4 linked regions of the Saccharomyces cerevisiae S288C genome follow. The gene in region 3 interacts genetically with the main gene of each other region. Each region holds a gene or a part of one and is shown on either strand. Other genes may lie near its edges. The genes, in order: CTF19, IRC15, SCC2 and IML3.

Evidence for each region.
Region 1: mutations in SCC2 (region 3) and CTF19 together harm fitness more than expected from each alone (negative genetic interaction), as found in Saccharomyces cerevisiae (3 studies listed by BioGRID).
Region 2: mutations in SCC2 (region 3) and IRC15 together harm fitness more than expected from each alone (negative genetic interaction), as found in Saccharomyces cerevisiae (3 studies listed by BioGRID).
Region 4: mutations in SCC2 (region 3) and IML3 together harm fitness more than expected from each alone (negative genetic interaction), as found in Saccharomyces cerevisiae (4 studies listed by BioGRID, with this or other methods).

Annotation. Positions count from the first base shown.
Region 1 is NC_001148.4:515,258-519,260, reverse strand, and holds CTF19 (Ctf19p), read right to left. Parts: upstream 1,611-4,003; coding exon 501-1,610; downstream 1-500. Other genes in the region: IRC15 (Irc15p), read left to right, coding at 1-527; VTC3 (vacuolar transporter chaperone), read left to right, coding at 2,243-4,003. UniProt on the Saccharomyces cerevisiae protein: Component of the kinetochore, a multiprotein complex that assembles on centromeric DNA and attaches chromosomes to spindle microtubules, mediating chromosome segregation and sister chromatid segregation during meiosis and mitosis.
Region 2 is NC_001148.4:518,234-522,942, forward strand, and holds IRC15 (Irc15p), read right to left. Parts: upstream 2,001-4,709; coding exon 501-2,000; downstream 1-500. Other genes in the region: CTF19 (Ctf19p), read left to right, coding at 1-527; SWI1 (Swi1p), read left to right, coding at 2,781-4,709.
Region 3 is NC_001136.10:819,659-827,009, reverse strand, and holds SCC2 (cohesin-loading factor complex subunit SCC2), read right to left. Parts: upstream 5,716-7,351; coding exon 1,234-5,715; downstream 1-1,233. Other genes in the region: SAS4 (Sas4p), read left to right, coding at 1-1,100; NVJ3 (Nvj3p), read right to left, coding at 6,186-7,351. UniProt on the Saccharomyces cerevisiae protein: Plays a structural role in chromatin and is involved in sister chromatid cohesion. Forms a complex with SCC4 required for the stable association of the cohesin complex with chromatin, which may act by hydrolyzing ATP from SMC1 and SMC3 heads.
Region 4 is NC_001134.8:453,293-457,076, forward strand, and holds IML3 (Iml3p), read right to left. Parts: upstream 1,239-3,784; coding exon 501-1,238; downstream 1-500. Other genes in the region: AIM3 (Aim3p), read left to right, coding at 1,530-3,784. UniProt on the Saccharomyces cerevisiae protein: Component of the kinetochore, a multiprotein complex that assembles on centromeric DNA and attaches chromosomes to spindle microtubules, mediating chromosome segregation and sister chromatid segregation during meiosis and mitosis.

The sequences.
Region 1 (4,003 bases), on a different chromosome or scaffold from region 3:
CTCATATTAAACCCATAGGAGACGTTACATTGGGCCCCATGCTGGCGCTGAAAGCGGAAGAACAAGCTATAAGGGCCATTCAATCAATAGGCTGTACAGGCTCCGACGGAACCTCGAATTGTGGCTTCCCACCAAATGTGCTGTACTGTCAGCCTCAGATTGGCTGGGTCGGATACACTGAGGAGGGGTTGGCAAAGGCTCGCATCCCATATCAAAAAGGCAGGGTTTTGTTCTCACAGAACGTTAGATATAACACGTTATTACCACGGGAAGAGAATACTACAGTTTCTCCTTTCATTAAAGTTCTGATAGATTCTCGTGACATGAAAATACTAGGCGTTCATATGATAAACGACGATGCAAATGAATTGCTGTCGCAAGCATCGATGGCGGTGTCGCTTGGCCTTACCGCCCATGATGTCTGTAAAGTACCGTTCCCTCATCCGAGCTTATCGGAATCGTTTAAGCAAGCCGTCCAGTTGGCAATGGCAAATGGAACATCACCTGGCGTACATGTCCGGGAATAGGCAAACGTTGCAGATCTCCTTTAACCCGGTTTTCACACCATATTCCTTGATAAGTCCGTAGCATATCTCGTCCAAATCTATCTGGTTAAATCTTTCTCCCCCCTTCCATAGCGCTATTGAAATTTTACTCATGGGCAGAAAACAGTTACGAGGTTTGCCTCTCTCACCGGGCATTGTAATGATGAAATTTATCTGCAATTTTATCGTCGTGAGTCTTCCTTCTCTAATAACTCTTTCCACAATTAATGAGTCACTATTATTCATTAGATAACACCTGGTTTTCCTTTTCAATAAATTAATCAAATTTTGGAAAATTCCAGTTTTTTTGGACTTGATCTTATCAAACTCATAAAGGCTTAATAGACACTTCTGGAAGTTACGTGTTGCCAGTAATTGCTTGGCCTTCAGTCTAACGTTTGTGGAAATTCGCAAGATTTCCCACTTCAGCAGTGTGGAATCTTCAAATTTATAGAACATTTTGAACTGAATTTCAAAAGGATTCATCGTGTTTCTGCAGAATTTATAATTGACCACCAAAACTTCAATCCCATCGTTATGTACTCTGTCTCTTGATTGCACAGAAACTTGAAGATGCGGGTATGTGTGGTCTCTCAAATAACTTAGCCGTAGATTCATATTTAACAAAGGTAACGTGTCGTATTTTGTTACTAGTTCCTTCTGCAAGTTAGTTAGCCCATTGATCCTCTCGACCCGCTTGCGGTCACTTATCGCCGAATTAGGATTAGAGGATGAGATCGAGATTAGATTAAGAAAATCCTGTGTGATATCGTTTTGGAGGATATCACCATTTTTAGTCTTACTGTTATTTTCCTTCATCAAGATATTTTGGTACGTCTGGATCTCTTGTAAAAGAGTATTTCTCCTTGTCAACAGCGCATCCTTCTCCTCCTGTAGCTTCAGTGCGCGTACCTGATCATCATCTAATAGCGATAGTTGTTGCTTCTCGTCCCCATCAATGTTTACATCTGCTTCACCAGCATGATGTGTACCCACAGCGTCTTCCAGACTTAAATGCGAATTCGATGTGTCGTGCGAATTCGTCGTATCAGACGTAAAATCCATATTTGCGTTCTTTGCCGACCTAGTATCAACAAGATCACACTAGCTCCAAGGTATATAGCTGTTTATATAAGTCTAAATTACGCGTTTCTGATTTTTCGGCGGACTCCAACTATTAGATAGTCACCATTACCGGTTACATTACCGGCCACATAGTAGAACGCCAGAGTATATATGCCGTGACCTTCACGGTTTGGATGTTAATGAGTAACTTGCACAGCTATTGGTATTTGGACTTCTTGGCACATTTTTCCCTGTACAGCTTTTCTTTTTTTCAATGTGCGAGGGCCCACGTGGCTTAATACAACACAGTGCAGTCGCAAGCACGTGCATGCGATTTTGAAAGCACAAGGCAGAAACGTGGAAACATACACACACGCACACACCCAACTTTCGAGTGGGTTTCATCCAGGAAGAACTTTTAAATAGAGGCCAGAGAGCGGCTTACATCAGACATCTTTTCTCGAACTTACTTCATCTTCTCAATATCGAGAGGGCCCATTGGCGGGTAATAATACGCATAAGAGTGATCTAATCCAAGTAGTACCTCCTTAGCGCTTTTTTTATTATCACTATAGGTCATTTGGCTATTAGAGCGAACAGCAGAATTTGTCCTTGGTTTTCAGAGTTTGAAAATGCTATTTGGTATTAAACTGGCTAACGACGTATATCCTCCCTGGAAGGATTCATATATCGACTATGAAAGGTTGAAGAAATTACTAAAGGAAAGCGTCATACATGATGGCCGTAGTTCCGTGGATAGTTGGTCCGAAAGGAATGAATCTGATTTTGTGGAGGCCTTGGATAAAGAACTAGAAAAGGTTTACACATTTCAAATTTCCAAATATAATGCTGTCTTGCGAAAATTAGATGATTTAGAGGAAAACACTAAATCAGCTGAAAAAATCCAAAAAATAAATTCTGAGCAGTTCAAAAACACCTTAGAAGAATGTCTAGATGAGGCTCAAAGATTGGATAACTTTGACAGGTTAAATTTTACTGGGTTTATCAAGATTGTGAAGAAACACGATAAATTACATCCAAACTATCCTTCTGTAAAGTCTCTTTTACAAGTCAGATTGAAAGAACTTCCTTTCAACAATTCAGAAGAGTATTCTCCCTTGTTGTATAGGATCTCATATCTGTACGAGTTCTTGAGATCAAATTATGATCATCCAAATACGGTGTCTAAATCATTAGCAAGTACTTCTAAATTATCACATTTTTCTAACCTTGAAGACGCAAGTTTTAAAAGCTACAAGTTTTGGGTTCATGATGATAATATAATGGAGGTTAAGGCTAGAATCTTAAGGCATCTACCTGCTTTGGTTTATGCGTCGGTTCCAAATGAAAATGACGATTTCGTCGATAATCTAGAATCAGATGTCCGCGTACAACCTGAAGCGCGCTTGAATATTGGTTCAAAGAGTAACAGCCTTTCTAGTGATGGTAATAGCAACCAAGATGTTGAAATTGGAAAATCAAAGAGCGTTATTTTCCCACAGTCATATGATCCAACAATCACTACATTATATTTCGACAACGATTTTTTTGATTTGTACAATAACAGATTGTTGAAAATCAGCGGTGCACCTACGCTGAGATTAAGATGGATCGGTAAACTGCTAGACAAACCTGACATATTTTTGGAAAAGAGAACTTTTACAGAAAATACCGAAACTGGTAATTCAAGTTTTGAAGAAATCAGATTGCAAATGAAAGCCAAATTCATCAACAATTTTATTTTTAAAAATGATCCCAGTTACAAAAACTATTTAATTAATCAACTAAGAGAAAGGGGTACTCAAAAGGAGGAACTGGAAAAACTTTCTAGAGACTTTGATAACATCCAAAACTTTATTGTTGAGGAGAAGTTGCAGCCAGTTTTGAGAGCTACCTATAATAGAACTGCTTTCCAAATTCCTGGAGATCAAAGTATTAGAGTCACTATCGATTCCAATATCATGTACATTAGAGAGGATTCTTTGGACAAAAATAGGCCCATTAGGAACCCTGAGAATTGGCACCGTGACGATATTGATTCCAATATTCCCAACCCATTGAGGTTTTTAAGAGCAGGAGAATATTCGAAGTTCCCCTATTCTGTAATGGAGATTAAGGTTATAAACCAAGATAATTCTCAAATGCCTAATTATGAGTGGATTAAAGATTTAACTAATTCACATTTAGTTAACGAAGTTCCAAAATTTTCTTTGTACTTGCAAGGTGTGGCTTCACTGTTTGGTGAAGACGATAAATATGTCAACATTTTGCCATTCTGGTTGCCCGATTTAGAAACCGACATCAGAAAGAACCCTCAGGAGGCTTACGAAGAAGAGAAGAAAACTTTACAAAAACAAAAGAGCATTCATGATAAACTTGATAATATGAGAAGG
Region 2 (4,709 bases), on a different chromosome or scaffold from region 3:
ATCCTTTTGAAATTCAGTTCAAAATGTTCTATAAATTTGAAGATTCCACACTGCTGAAGTGGGAAATCTTGCGAATTTCCACAAACGTTAGACTGAAGGCCAAGCAATTACTGGCAACACGTAACTTCCAGAAGTGTCTATTAAGCCTTTATGAGTTTGATAAGATCAAGTCCAAAAAAACTGGAATTTTCCAAAATTTGATTAATTTATTGAAAAGGAAAACCAGGTGTTATCTAATGAATAATAGTGACTCATTAATTGTGGAAAGAGTTATTAGAGAAGGAAGACTCACGACGATAAAATTGCAGATAAATTTCATCATTACAATGCCCGGTGAGAGAGGCAAACCTCGTAACTGTTTTCTGCCCATGAGTAAAATTTCAATAGCGCTATGGAAGGGGGGAGAAAGATTTAACCAGATAGATTTGGACGAGATATGCTACGGACTTATCAAGGAATATGGTGTGAAAACCGGGTTAAAGGAGATCTGCAACGTTTGCCTATTCCCGGACATGTACGCCAGGTGATGTTCCATTTGCCATTGCCAACTGGACGGCTTGCTTAAACGATTCCGATAAGCTCGGATGAGGGAACGGTACTTTACAGACATCATGGGCGGTAAGGCCAAGCGACACCGCCATCGATGCTTGCGACAGCAATTCATTTGCATCGTCGTTTATCATATGAACGCCTAGTATTTTCATGTCACGAGAATCTATCAGAACTTTAATGAAAGGAGAAACTGTAGTATTCTCTTCCCGTGGTAATAACGTGTTATATCTAACGTTCTGTGAGAACAAAACCCTGCCTTTTTGATATGGGATGCGAGCCTTTGCCAACCCCTCCTCAGTGTATCCGACCCAGCCAATCTGAGGCTGACAGTACAGCACATTTGGTGGGAAGCCACAATTCGAGGTTCCGTCGGAGCCTGTACAGCCTATTGATTGAATGGCCCTTATAGCTTGTTCTTCCGCTTTCAGCGCCAGCATGGGGCCCAATGTAACGTCTCCTATGGGTTTAATATGAGGGTACTTTAGCAGACTTTGGGTTTGTACGTCAACATTTTCTACAAAATCCCGTTCGTCTAGACCAATGCTGGAAATATCTAAACCTTTTAGCAGGGGACGTCTACCAATAGAAACCATCAAGACGTCGCAATGATGTACATATGTTTTCTTTGACACCTTGTTAAGCAAGGTGATGTTCAGCTGACCGGCAGCATCGGCTTCCGCGAGCTGCACTCTAGTGTCTAAAAGAAAAGCTATACCCTGACACTGCAAGAGGGTCTTCGTGGCAGAAGCCAACTCATTGTCCATATTTTGACAGATCTCGCTTTGAGATTCAACGATAGTAACCCGAGAGCCCAAATTATTGAATATGCATGCGATTTCTAGTCCAATTGTACCTCCTCCCATGATAGTAAAACGTGAAGGTATATAATCCAGTGACAATGCCTTATCAGATGAAATTATCTTGTCATTATCTATTGCAACACCAGGACACTGAATAACCGCAGATCCGGTCGCCACAACAATATATTTCGCCTCTACGATGAACGGTTTCATGCCGCGCTGCGCAATCTCAACGTGGTGAGGATCTTTGAAAGCAGCCGTGCCTTTATACACAGTAACATTATTTTTAGATAGCTCACGTTTATACACATTGCCCAACTCTTCTATATTATGTTTGAGTGCACTCTGGGCCGCCTGCATATCGAATTTTGCAGGAAACAGCCGCGTGCCACGTTGCTCGATAAGTTCTTGCTGTTGTAGCAGCCGATAAAGATAAGACTCATATAACAAGGTCTTGGACGGGACTGCCCCGTCTACAAGGTAGGCGCCCCCCAGCGAGGCACGCTGGTCAACACATGCTGTGAGCAGGCCTGCTTGCGAAGCCTGCATCGCTGCAGTAAAGCCACCAGGCCCGCAACCAATTACCAGGACATCGTAAACTGCCGCAAAATCCTCCATCGTGCTTAATATTTCGTCTTCACCTCCCATTACCAAAAATGCTCACCGTTAATTATATCATACTTCTCTTCTCCTCTCGTAAAATCGTGCGCATGTTAAATAGCCGCCGAAACAGCAGATGCATGCCTGCAGGTCTGGGTGTACCCCCTGCCTGAGTGTTCCACCCAGGCCTCGCCGGAGGAAAATGCCACCGCACTCAAGTTCGCACAGAAACTACCGCATAAATTTATTCTAACCCGGAACTGACGTTTATCGTGATATGAACTTTGGGTATCTCCGATTACGAAACGACGCCACCCCTCCTTCCCCAAAGCACCGAGAAAAGATTTTTTTTAAAACTGAACGCTGATTGACTTTACGTATTATTACCACTATGCATTATTGTTGTTTCTGTTGTGGTTGTTGCCAGTTGTAATCATATTCACATTGCGTTTTAGTCATAACCACCTTCCGGTATTCATCATTCGTATTGAATAACAATATTTATACCGCAAAACACTATACGGCAAGGCAACTGATTACACTTTGTTTACCTTATTTTTTTATTATTTATTTTTCTAGAAAGTATTGTTGTGTGGCTCTATCCTTATTACACCATCTCTGCTTTGGCATTTCGCGTTGTTTCCTCTCACGGATTGCAGATTATTGTTCACCAGGTAATAATCACTGACTGGCGGCTATTTTCCTATTACACTCATTATTCTTAAAATTTTCTTTTTCTATCTCTATTTTCTTTCTTTTCGTGTCTTATAATAATAATAATAATAATAATAATAAAAATAGTAATAATAAAAATAGTAATAAATAAAGATGGATTTCTTTAATTTGAATAATAATAATAATAATAATAATACTACTACTACTACTACTACTACCAATAACAATAATACTAATAATAATAATACTAATAATAATAATAATCCTGCTAATAATACCAATAACAACAATAGCACAGGCCATAGTAGTAATACTAATAACAATACTAATAACAACAATACGAATACCGGAGCCAGTGGTGTAGACGATTTTCAGAATTTTTTCGACCCAAAACCTTTTGACCAGAATTTGGATTCCAACAATAACAACAGTAATAGTAATAACAATGATAACAATAACAGTAACACGGTAGCCTCCAGCACGAACTTTACTTCTCCAACAGCAGTCGTTAATAATGCCGCTCCTGCTAATGTTACCGGTGGAAAAGCTGCTAATTTCATTCAGAACCAGTCTCCCCAATTCAATTCTCCATATGACTCAAACAATTCCAACACAAATTTAAACAGCCTGTCTCCTCAGGCTATTTTAGCCAAGAATTCAATCATTGATTCTTCCAATTTACCTCTTCAAGCTCAACAACAGCTATATGGCGGTAACAATAATAATAATAGCACCGGAATTGCGAACGATAATGTAATAACACCCCATTTTATCACCAATGTTCAATCCATCAGTCAAAATTCCTCATCTTCTACTCCGAACACAAACTCTAACTCTACTCCGAATGCAAATCAACAATTTTTGCCATTCAATAACAGTGCTTCCAATAATGGTAATTTGACGTCTAACCAGCTTATTTCTAATTACGCTGCTTCAAATTCAATGGACAGATCATCCTCTGCAAGCAATGAATTTGTTCCGAACACAAGTGACAACAACAACAACAGTAATAACCATAATATGCGTAATAACAGCAATAATAAAACGAGCAATAACAATAATGTCACTGCCGTGCCTGCTGCAACTCCCGCTAATACCAATAATTCAACTTCAAACGCAAATACAGTGTTCTCTGAAAGAGCTGCAATGTTTGCCGCTTTGCAGCAAAAGCAGCAGCAACGTTTTCAGGCTCTACAGCAGCAGCAGCAGCAGCAACAAAATCAACAACAGCAAAATCAACAACCACAACAGCAACAACAGCAACAACAGAATCCCAAATTTTTGCAGAGTCAACGGCAGCAACAACAAAGATCTATTTTACAAAGTCTGAACCCGGCATTACAAGAGAAAATATCTACTGAATTGAATAACAAACAATATGAACTTTTTATGAAATCTTTGATTGAAAACTGTAAAAAAAGAAATATGCCGTTACAATCAATACCAGAAATCGGCAACAGAAAAATAAATCTTTTTTATCTTTATATGTTGGTTCAAAAATTCGGTGGTGCAGATCAAGTAACAAGGACCCAACAGTGGTCTATGGTGGCCCAAAGGCTGCAAATTTCCGATTACCAACAATTAGAATCAATCTATTTTAGAATTTTATTACCTTACGAAAGACACATGATTTCCCAAGAAGGTATAAAGGAAACTCAAGCGAAAAGAATATTCTTGCAACAGTTCTTACAAGAACTATTGAAGAAAGTTCAACAACAGCAGCAGGCCGCTGCATTGGCCAATGCCAACAATAACATTAATAGTGCATCGTCAGCACCAACCCCCGCGGCTCCTGGCGCGTCCGTTCCTGCTACAGCAGCACCAGGAACAGAAGCAGGGATCGTTCCGGTTTCAGCAAACACTCCAAAAAGCTTGAATAGCAATATTAATATCAACGTAAATAATAACAATATTGGCCAACAGCAAGTTAAGAAGCCAAGAAAGCAAAGAGTGAAAAAAAAGACCAAAAAGGAATTGGAACTAGAACGTAAAGAAAGGGAGGATTTTCAGAAACGACAACAAAAACTTTTAGAGGATCAACAAAGGCAACAGAAATTGCTATTAGAGACAAAATTACGTCAA
Region 3 (7,351 bases):
AGAATATTAGAAAACCAACTGATGATTTGCTTCCTGATAGCACGTATCAGCCTTACCACAAGAAAATGTTGAAGCAAGAAAATAGAATGATTCAATCGGACATCGTAAATGGTGAAAATGAAGCAGACAGGCTTTCATTAATTTCAGACAGACTGGGTATGTTGAATTGGGAAGTAACATTACAGAAGGTTACTAAAATAAATGACCCCACTGACGAGAATGAAATGGAGACTAAACGTTACCAAACTAAAGAGCTGATTGATTCAATGTTACATAAATTTGAATCTATGAAAAAAAAAAGCCGCAATTTAGCTAGAAGGCCAGCCTCAAGTGATTCATTGTTGAAATTGGTTAGTGGCAAAGATTGGCCCAAGATATATACTCGAATCGATCGAACTTTTATTCCAGATTACGCAAGCTCCTCTGACGAAGAAGAAGAAAAAATAACCGTTGAGGAAATAAGGGAGAGACGCCTAAAGAAGAGAGAGCAGCAATGCGGTGGTTCCATTATAGTACTGCTGAGCGATCATCAATCACAAAAGGGAATGACACGGTTTGCTATCGTAGCTGAGCCGCTCCGAAAACCGTATTTGATTAAAACCTCCACTAAAGAGAGAAATTCATGGAAAAACAAAGTTCCCACAAATCCAAAAAAATTCAAGAAAGCTCCTCGAATATCAACGCAAATTGCTGTGAAAAGAAGAAGGGAAGTCATCCCGTTAACGATGGAGGTGGAACCAGAAGTCATTCGGGATATAAGGCAAGATACACAAAAGTCTATGAAACTGAATGTTAAAGCGGAGGAAATATCTGTGACAGAGACTGTCAAATCAAAAGAAATGAATGCCTTAAGGAACAATGCTGCATCTATAAGTCCAACTCTTTCAGAGAAGGCACCTTTAGGTTCAATTTCATCTTGCACTGCATCTCAGATTTCACAAAGGTCTTCTGAGAATGTGGGTGCTATTATTAACAATATCAACCCAAACTTAGCAATAGTGCCCTCTTGTAACGAAAAGACCTTTGTAAAAACACACAATGGAATGAAAACTAACTCAGGTATTAATATTTTGCCTGTCCGCAAGAAAAAAAAGGTTTAGTTTGAACTAATATAATGCGATGGTGTAAATGAAATTCAATATTTCATAGTTGCTTCTCAAAACCTGCGTGAAAAATCAGCATGGAAAATGCAAAATGATTATTAATACTATGTATATTTTAAGTGCAATATATTTACGTATCCTTCACGTGTTTTCTAAAATATGTAAGAAGCTTGCCATTTGATGAATACTGTTCAATATTCTCCAACTGTGCGGAAAACTTACTGATATCCGGCTTCTTTGCAGGGAGTTGTTTGTTCTTCAATTCTGATTCTTCTACAATATCTAATAAAAGCACATCATCCCTTAACCCGTATAAGTGCAGTAGATAAGTACCCAAATCCTGTAAGCTTAACTGTATTAAAATTATTCCACTGAGCTTTTCTTCTGATACGGATAGCGATGAAACATTGTCACCTATTTCATCCATGATAACCTCTTTTAATCTATCTGTAGTTAAATCAATGGTTTTGAGTAGGGACACCAAATCGTACTGAGAAACAAATGTGATATTCGAAATGTTAGTGCAGAGAACGAAAATGGACTTTTGAACACTACTATTTGTTGATGTTAAATCGGTGATATCATCTAAATAGGATTGCATGATTCTCTTCAGAACTTTAAAGAACTTTGGGCCATTTTTTTTTCCAGTTCCACATAATTTTTCAAGTAAAGACAAAAAATGATCGTGCTTGTAATAATACTTCTCATCTGTATGAATAGAATAATGTATAGCTTTTGTAACCCCTCGAGATAAACTACTGAATACTAGCGTTTCGTATTTCTCAAAAAGATCTTCTAACAACTCATAGGCGACATGACGAATATACTGGCTAGTAGAGGCAAATAAAGCAATTACAGTTGGAATTGAATGAGAGGGATTTGTGTAACCAAATTTCAAAATCAACTTTAATAATCGAATAGCTACGAGAGAATTCTTTAGATCACGTAGGAGACATAGTTGGAGAATATTGTCTAAAAATCTAGTAGCCAACGCTGAACATACTCCATCATTTGCAAACTCTACCCTATTCGTTTTCAGTAATTTCTTTTTCAAAATGGAGTTCGAAGACAAAGTGCTATTAACGCCAGTGTTTCTCACTGACTTCCTTTCTTCCAGTAGAAAAAGATCATATAAACTTTCTAGAATTACTAGTTTAATATCTAGCTGATCGCTCTGAAATTCTTTGTCCAGTAAATGTAGAACGTGTCTTGAATTGAATAGTTTTGGATGATTTCCACATAATTTAGTGAGATTTTTCACAGCAACCCTTCTTATTACGTGTGTAATTTTGTCTTTAGATAGTACAAGTAGGCATTTGGTAATATGTTCATACAGGGTTTCACCTTCTTGTAAAAATGCAATTTTATCATTGGAGGGTTTAGGAAAGCAGAACCTGGCAAAACCGGTGGATAAATATATCAGCCTTTGCAATTTTCCGTCAACTACAATGGCAGCTTCCTCGTTATTTGCCTTATTTATATATGGATGTAAATGGGAAAGACAGGATGAACATGCTTTAGCTACTCTAGCAGTATCATGACGATGAGTGGCAACAGACCAGATAAGAGGCATAGCTTCATCTATCTCTCTTACATTCATCTTTGGTAGCCTACTCAAAAGGGTCGTCTCTAAGTCATACAAAAATTTCTGTTTAAAGTTGGCCAATTTTTCAAAAGTGCATCTAAAGACTTGCAAGATATAATAGTGGAAGTCAGATTTTTCGTCCGATACCATATAAGGATACAATGCTGTAATGTGGTCTTTAGTCAAAAATGACACAGTAGAATCAGCAAACTTCGCCAAAAGGTTTAAAAAATTTTGTTTATCAACAATCGAATTCTTTTCATTTGTGTCATCTGAGTTGAGCTCGACAATTTTTTGTACCAAAAAGTCGGTAAGAATGGTTAGAACGTGAGTGATTTTATCGTATGCTTCTTTTGAATGCGCTTCTTTGTTTAGGAGATAAAAGTTGAGAAACAAGTCGAAAAGTTGGGAGCATTTCTCATTCATTATAGCCACACGGGACATTACTAGTAGGACTGAAGAAGAAATTTCTTTCAACTTTTCGGGCTGGTCCAATACTTCATGTACCTTTAATATCCATCTATTTAATAAAATCAGCCTAGCCATATCAATTATATTGTCCTCCTCGTCTTCTATTTTCATTAGGATTCTTGCTATTACGTATACCTTCGTGACGATGTCGTTCGTCTCGTCGTACATTTTTTCATTAATTCTTAACACATGTTTTCTTACCATTATGCTATCATCGTTATAGTTGTTGTTAATTTGTTGATAAAATTCGAAGTATGAAGAATTAATACTGACCAAATCTAGAATGGCATCCTTGACAGATGCAGATGAGTCGTTTAAACGCCGGTGAATAGTTTCTTTAACCATTGGGTTTGAAAGTATCACTTTGTCTTTTGAAGCCAACATCGAGAGACATTTAATAGCAGTCGATCTCAGTTTGATTTTATCCTTGGCTAGAAGTGATAATATCAACTTCAAGTATGGATCGTATAGATTCAGTAGTTCAAAGGCGTGCAAAATAGAAAAATAATCCAATTTAATCGTACTAAAATCTGCTTCTCTGTTCTCTAATTCGGGTCCAAGTCCACCATCTTTTATCTGCTCCAATATTTTTTTCAATTCATTGTCAACGGTTATAATTTGTTCTTTGGCATCCTTTGTATACTCTTCTAATATCAAGATCGTACCGAGCCTTAAATTCCAAAGGAATCTTGTTGCAGAACGACGGCATTTGATCGTTTCATTATATGCAATGCATTCTTCAAATGATTTAAAAAAATGCGGCAAAGTTTCGGGGTAATTAATCATTTTAATCAAGTTGTTATCTTCATGGTCTCTAGTTGAGCATTTAATATCAAAAATTGTAGAACCAATATTCCCTATAAGTTGTAAACATATTGTTTCAATGTTTGCAGAAACTTGCATGGATGGGCTGTATACACTTAGAAGTCTCTTTAACAAAGAGCTTAGTATTTTTTCTGTTACAGGCCACTGAGGGGAGGAAATTAGCAATAATAGATCTTGGACAAAGTTGTCAATTACATACCTTAAAGCGGACGGGTTCTTGAAAAACCTTTCCAGTATTGTGTCATTTATATGCTCAACAATGTTAAAAAGAAATTCTTCTTGCTTTTTGTATTCGTTCTTTAATAGATCAATATTCTCTGGTGCAATATCCTTCATCTGATTACAGAAGGAGTAGCAATTAATATTCTCTAACATTGACATTAAAGTAAAGGTAAAATCAGTGATATAAATGTTTTGGTTACCAACTTTTCTTAGTTTTTTTTGTATTCTCTTAGTGGGAAGCTTTTCGATATGAGATAGTAGTTCTTCTATAATAAATCCTCTCTGTTGATCAAAACTACCGAATAATGAAACTAAAATATCAGAGCTGATTCTCTTCACATTATCCCAAAAACTTTGAAATTGGATATTCGTAGTTGCTTCAATGTCATTATTCATCAGCAAGTCGCTAAAGATGTACACAAGCTTTGCCGTGACATTATCATCCAGAAAAGGGCCGTTACGTATGTATTTCGGTAGCAATTCTAGGGCCTCCTGGAAAGTGTCAAATTCTATCTTCAAAGAACCATATTCAATTGTTAATATTTTTAGAGATTCTATCAAGTCGCTTAAAAAATTCACCGGTTCCATGATGTATGATTCCCGATGTAAGTTGCTGTCATTCTTACCCAGTAAAAAAATATTGAATAGTACAATTGTAGAAAGCAAAGCAATATATCGTAACATAGAATCATCTAAACCCATCTTTAAAGAGCTTTTACTGAACTTTATATTACAAACCATCACATCAAGCAATCTCAAAAGCCATGTTATTTCGATTGAGTTCGATAGCTGTGGGTTATCGGTAATATTTTTAATTGTCATTTGTAATTTGGTTAAGCAGTTTGTAGTTAAAACGAATTTTTTATTTGGCAACTGGAGCCAGTACTCGATATTTCCAATTTCAGCAGAGTTTTGGTCAAATCCAACAATATCTAAAATATTTTTAAGATCATTCAAATATTGTTCCGCTAAATTCGCTTGTGTCATGGTTACACCTGTTGAAGTTTTGGTTTTCTTGTTGGAAGAATTGTCGTTGAAACTCAAGTTACCAGCATTCGAAGTCACACTTTCGAGCTTATGCTTTGCCTCCGGTCTGCTTACTATTTCACTTTTTTTCTCGATGTTAATGGAATCATTCAACCCTTTATGGGTTGATAGAACACTCTGCGCTAGCGGTGATAATCCTTCCAAAAAGTTAGTTGGGACATAATCAACAGAATTGGCTGATGACGTAAAATTACTGGGTCTTTTGAAAACAAGCCTTTCTTTTTCGGCCTCATTCTTTATGGAAGAAGTAGTGCTGTTAGCTGTACCTAGAACATTTATATTAACATCTCTGCCATCATCAGCGCTGGTAAAGATAGTCTTGTCAAAAGGTAAAGAAACCCGCATTGGGGCATTTACTAGCGCGGCTAACCCATCCTTAGGAACCAGATAACTCAAAGGCAGGTCTTCTAGGGCCTCTATTATTCTTCCAGGAATATTCTTGTCTTTCCCTGGGTACGACATTGCTAGCCGCCAATTCTTTCAAAAAATGAATAGTTATAAGAACAATACTCTCACAACAAACGAAAAGCCTGAGCACACAGGAGCAAACCAATACACAAAAGAAAAATTGCTATAAGTGGAGCACTCGAATGTGACTTGTTGTTATCGAACTCTAAGCCTGAGCTAGAAAAAACTTTAGTTACTAAACTGCATCGTTCTTTTTCAGCCAGTGTTTTTTTTAAGCGAAGTGGCGGCAGTTTCGCGTTTAACATAAAAGCAATACCACTTTTACCTGTTCGGGCAAAAGGAATAGATATTTGCATATTTGGCAATGAATAGTGCTAATGATTAGGTCATAAAAGCTATTTGTTAACAATGTTCTTGCTTCCTAAGACCTTACTTCATAGTATAAAAATTGGTAATAATGCTACAAAGAGTGCTATTTCGGTAACATCAAATATTTGTCAACAATACTCTATACATCACGAAGTCTACGGCAACTGCGCAATAACACAGTCAATAATTCTATAAATTAGCAGTTTATTGCAATCCCTATTCTTCGATATGCAGATAATAAGATCCGCTATGTCAGACCTTTTGATAGCGAGGATATGATCAAGTTTATAAGTCATACAAACATCCCATAAATTGGAAATACACTCTTCTCTGAACTCTAGAAAAGCATCACCCACTGGTAATACTCTTGGTGGCCCCATCATATTGTCATTAGGAAACAAAGAATGTCGTAATAATGAGAATAAGTTGCCAATTGTCACAGGGCTGGTAATTTTAGTTTGAACAATATTGTCAAATGTTCTATACATGACCCTGTTTAACGCATTTAATTTAGAGATCCAATGCTGAAGCGTTCTGCATATTGAGAATAGGAATGGCTTCCTCATAGATAATTTGAAAAAATCATCGGTGAAAAAAGTAAAAATATATCTTTGTAGAAATGCTGTTTCTTGAATTTCGGCAGTGTTCATATTTGCTGCTTCTGTTGAAGTTGAATAAGCTAAAAGCCTGGTCATTTGCAATATTTTGTGCTTTACATTGGAAACAAACAACCAGGGATCGCATTTAGGCTTTCCATGAGTCACCTCGTTTCTGGTATTTCCTGCAGAATTTAGCTTTATTCTTATGCAAATTTTATTCAAGCCCTCCAGAAGATAATATGGTTCCGCTATTGAATTAAAAATATGCCCGAACACAAGTTCATTTAAAAAGCTATCCAAAAAGCTTCTCTGTAGTAGAGATTTGGTGCTCATTTTACTTTGTATGATTTCAGTGAATAGCATTGGATATCGTTTCGAATCATACAAAGTTAGCTTACAGTACTGTTCATAAACTAAATCGTTATTTTGAGATGAGTCATTTAATGCTTTCAAGTGAGACGAAAGCAAGCAGGGAATATAATCGAGTAAAAGGGCATGGTAATTGATTTTGGAACTCTTCAAATATGTTATTAAATCTTGAACTAAGTTATATAGTTCGGTTAAAAACTTGGAATCATCAGTGGGTATTTTGATACCATACCAAGACTTAACGAAATTTTGGAAAATTAAGGCAATAAAGGTATTTACCTGTAGGTCTGGCAAAGCTTCTATGCTTCTGATTTTCTGATGTAATGAATTTGGGTATATAGAGAAACATAAAT
Region 4 (3,784 bases), on a different chromosome or scaffold from region 3:
GCAGTTGCTGCAGTGTTATAAGAAAAATAGAATGAAATAAGATAAAGCTAGACGAATTGTGTCTATTTTCCTACATCGCCATAGAATTGCTTTTTTTTTCTTGATTAGATGAAATGAAAACAAGGAACTCTATTTGTTTTCATTTTGTTGGGCTTATCATGTAAAGAAAAATGAGTCGTGTCCTCTTTTTCCTCGTGCTTGTATGACTGCCGCACTTTCCGCTAAGTGCGCTCGTCTATATGATTTTATGCAAATATATACTGAAAGTTCAACAAAATTAAACTATGTGAACATTAGTTCATAGCAGCCATTGGCCCGTTGTGTCGGGATCTCTACACTAAATTGTAATGTCTCTGGGATTTTGTGGGGTGTCATTGCAGATATGACGAACCGGATATTACTGATAATGACGATGATTCATGAAGGTCTTCAGGTTCATATGTACAAAAAAGGTAGAGCTGTGGTTTTTTATTGTATCTTGGTGAATATTCTTTATAGTGTTACTCGCTGGTAAACTGAATCGATTGGAGTACAACTGCTAGAACTCTGTTCCTGAGACTTCGTGTTGAAGTGACAATGGATTCTCTCATTATTTTCGTGTGCCCTGCCAATATGACGGAAGTCAACGGTAATCTTTCCACCGCCATCCCCGTTTCATTATAAATGTAGGGTACAATTGCATCGTTATACGGGTGCATAGTATTACCATAGCCAAGAGCCAAACCCTCACAGCTTTCTCTCGGTATTTCTATACTGAATTGCCGCAAGTTTTTGTCTTGTGTTTCTGGTTCAAAATATAACTTTGAGCTAAACCAGGTAATTTGTTCGATGTTCTCTTTCGTTACGTGCACAATGCTGGCGTCAGCTAACTTTATCATGGTCTTCTGTTCAAATTTTATCGGCCACATAATGACACCGTACTCTGCCTTCAGCCACTGCAATACCACTTCATTGCGGTTATCTGTCCCGCAATAGCACAAAAACATCGGCACCTCCATTTTTGAGTTCCCCAAGAAAATGAACTTAGAGTAAGTGCCCTCATCTAAATTAGAGATGTCCAACCTCATTTCGTAACGGATATACTCGTCAGCGGCGGTACCACCATCAGGATCACTGGGTACTCGAATGGTTTGAATGTCTAAATCTACTTCCAGGTTTAGCAATTGGTTCAACTTTGCTATACCATTTTCCAGTGAAAGTTGCTTGCTGATTCCTAAAAACTTCCAAGTATAAGGCATTCCATCCAAAGGAAGTACGTTGATACCTATAGACAATCAAATCAACCATGCAGTCGACCAGATCATCCCACTATGGTTGTTGTCTATTTCATATCGGTGTCGGCATTTTTTTTTCCCGTAGTACCACTGGATCTGCCTAAATCGCGCTTCAGGAAAACCAGGGACCACCCTATTTTTTTATATTTCATCATCTAAATTAAGTGTATACATATATGGATAAAGTCATTTTGAGTTTACATAATCGTATGTTCGAGAGAGGTCTTTCATAAAAAAATCAAGTTATCAACCAGCATGGGATTTTGGGAGAACAACAAAGATTCCATCACTTCAGGGCTGAAGAGCGCCGGTAAATATGGTTACCAAGGAACAAAGTACGTTGCCAAGACAGGGTATAAGGCAAGTAAGAAGCACTATAACAACAGCAAAGCGCGTAGGGAAAGGAAGAGTGGTAAGAAAAATTCAAGTGATGAGGAGTATGATAGCGAAGATGAGATGGAGTACGAAAGAAAGCCGACCGATATAAGAAGTTTAAAAGACCCAAAGTCCTTTCCTCCCCCACCTTTGAAACCTGGACAAAAAACTTATACAGGACAACAGCAACAGCAAATGCCAAATGGTCAGGCCAGTTATGCTTTTCAGGGTGCATACCAAGGCCAACCTGGCGCAGGATCGACGGAACAGTCACAATACGCACAACCACAGTATAATCAGTATCCACAACAGCAGCTGCAACAAGGTGTAATGCCACAGCAACAGCAGCTGCAACAAGGTGTAGTGCCACAGCAGCCGCCTATATATGGAGAGCAAGTACCACCGTATGGGTCAAATTCTAATGCAACCAGCTACCAGTCGCTGCCGCAACAAAATCAACCCCAAAATGCAATTCCAAGTCAGGTATCTCTGAACTCTGCTTCTCAGCAAAGCACAGGGTTTGTCTCGCAAAATCTGCAATATGGTACCCAATCAAGTAATCCGGCACCATCACCGTCTTTCCAGAACGGTCTTCAGTGTCATCAGCAGCCGCAATACGTATCACATGGCTCAACCAATCTCGGACAATCCCAATTTCCATCGGGCCAACAGCAGCAGCCCACGACACAGTTTGGCCAGCAAGTTTTACCATCACCTGCACAACCACAACAGCAACAACAAGGGCAACCATTACCGCCCCCGCGCGGTCAAGTGATCTTGCCAGCGCCCGGAGAGCCTCTGTCAAATGGCTTTGGGCAACAGCAACAGCAACAGCAACAGCAACAGCAGCCTCTGAACCAAAACAACGCTTTGTTGCCACAAATGAACGTGGAAGGAGTTTCTGGGATGGCTGCGGTTCAGCCTGTCTATGGCCAAGCCATGTCAAGTACTACAAACATGCAAGATTCGAACCCCAGCTATGGAGCTTCACCCATGCAAGGTCAGCCTCCAGTCGGTGGACAACCGCCTGTGCCTGTAAGAATGCAGCCACAGCCACCGCAACCAATGCAACAGGGAAACATCTATCCGATTGAGCCTTCTCTTGATTCTACTGGCTCAACCCCACATTTTGAAGTTACTCCATTTGACCCAGACGCACCTGCTCCGAAGCCCAAAATCGATATTCCCACTGTAGACGTTAGTAGCCTTCCACCACCTCCCACTCATAGGGATAGAGGAGCAGTTGTACACCAGGAACCTGCGCCAAGTGGGAAAATACAGCCTAACACAACCTCTTCGGCGGCTTCATTGCCAGCAAAGCATTCAAGAACTACTACTGCAGACAATGAAAGGAACTCTGGAAACAAAGAAAACGATGAAAGTACCTCCAAGTCGTCCATTTTAGGACATTATGATGTAGATGTCAACATCATGCCACCTCCAAAACCTTTCAGACATGGACTTGATTCTGTACCTTCTGAGCACACCACGAAGAACGCACCAGAACGGGCAGTGCCAATTCTACCTCCTCGGAACAATGTTGAGCCTCCTCCTCCCCCATCACGAGGCAATTTTGAGAGGACAGAGTCGGTGCTGTCAACGAATGCCGCTAATGTACAGGAGGATCCCATTTCTAATTTTTTACCTCCACCGAAGCCATTTAGACATACTGAAACTAAACAAAATCAGAATAGTAAAGCATCACCTGTAGAAATGAAGGGTGAAGTTTTGCCAGGGCACCCCTCTGAGGAAGATAGAAACGTTGAACCATCGTTGGTACCTCAATCGAAACCGCAATCGCAATCTCAATTCAGAAGAGCTCATATGGAGACACAGCCTATTCAAAACTTCCAGCCACCACCAAAACCATTTAGGCGTTCACAATCGTCCAATTCTAGTGATAGTTCTTATACTATCGACGGACCTGAGGCAAATCATGGGCGTGGGCGTGGGCGTATAGCTAAGCACCATGATGGTGATGAATACAACCCCAAGAGTGAGAATTCTACAGAAAACGGTCGTTTGGGTGATGCCCCCAACAGCTTTATTAGAAAAAGAGCGCCAACCCCTCCGGCCCCATCCAGATCTGAGAAGTTACATGAGGGTACTATAACATCCGAAGTTGATAGTTCAAA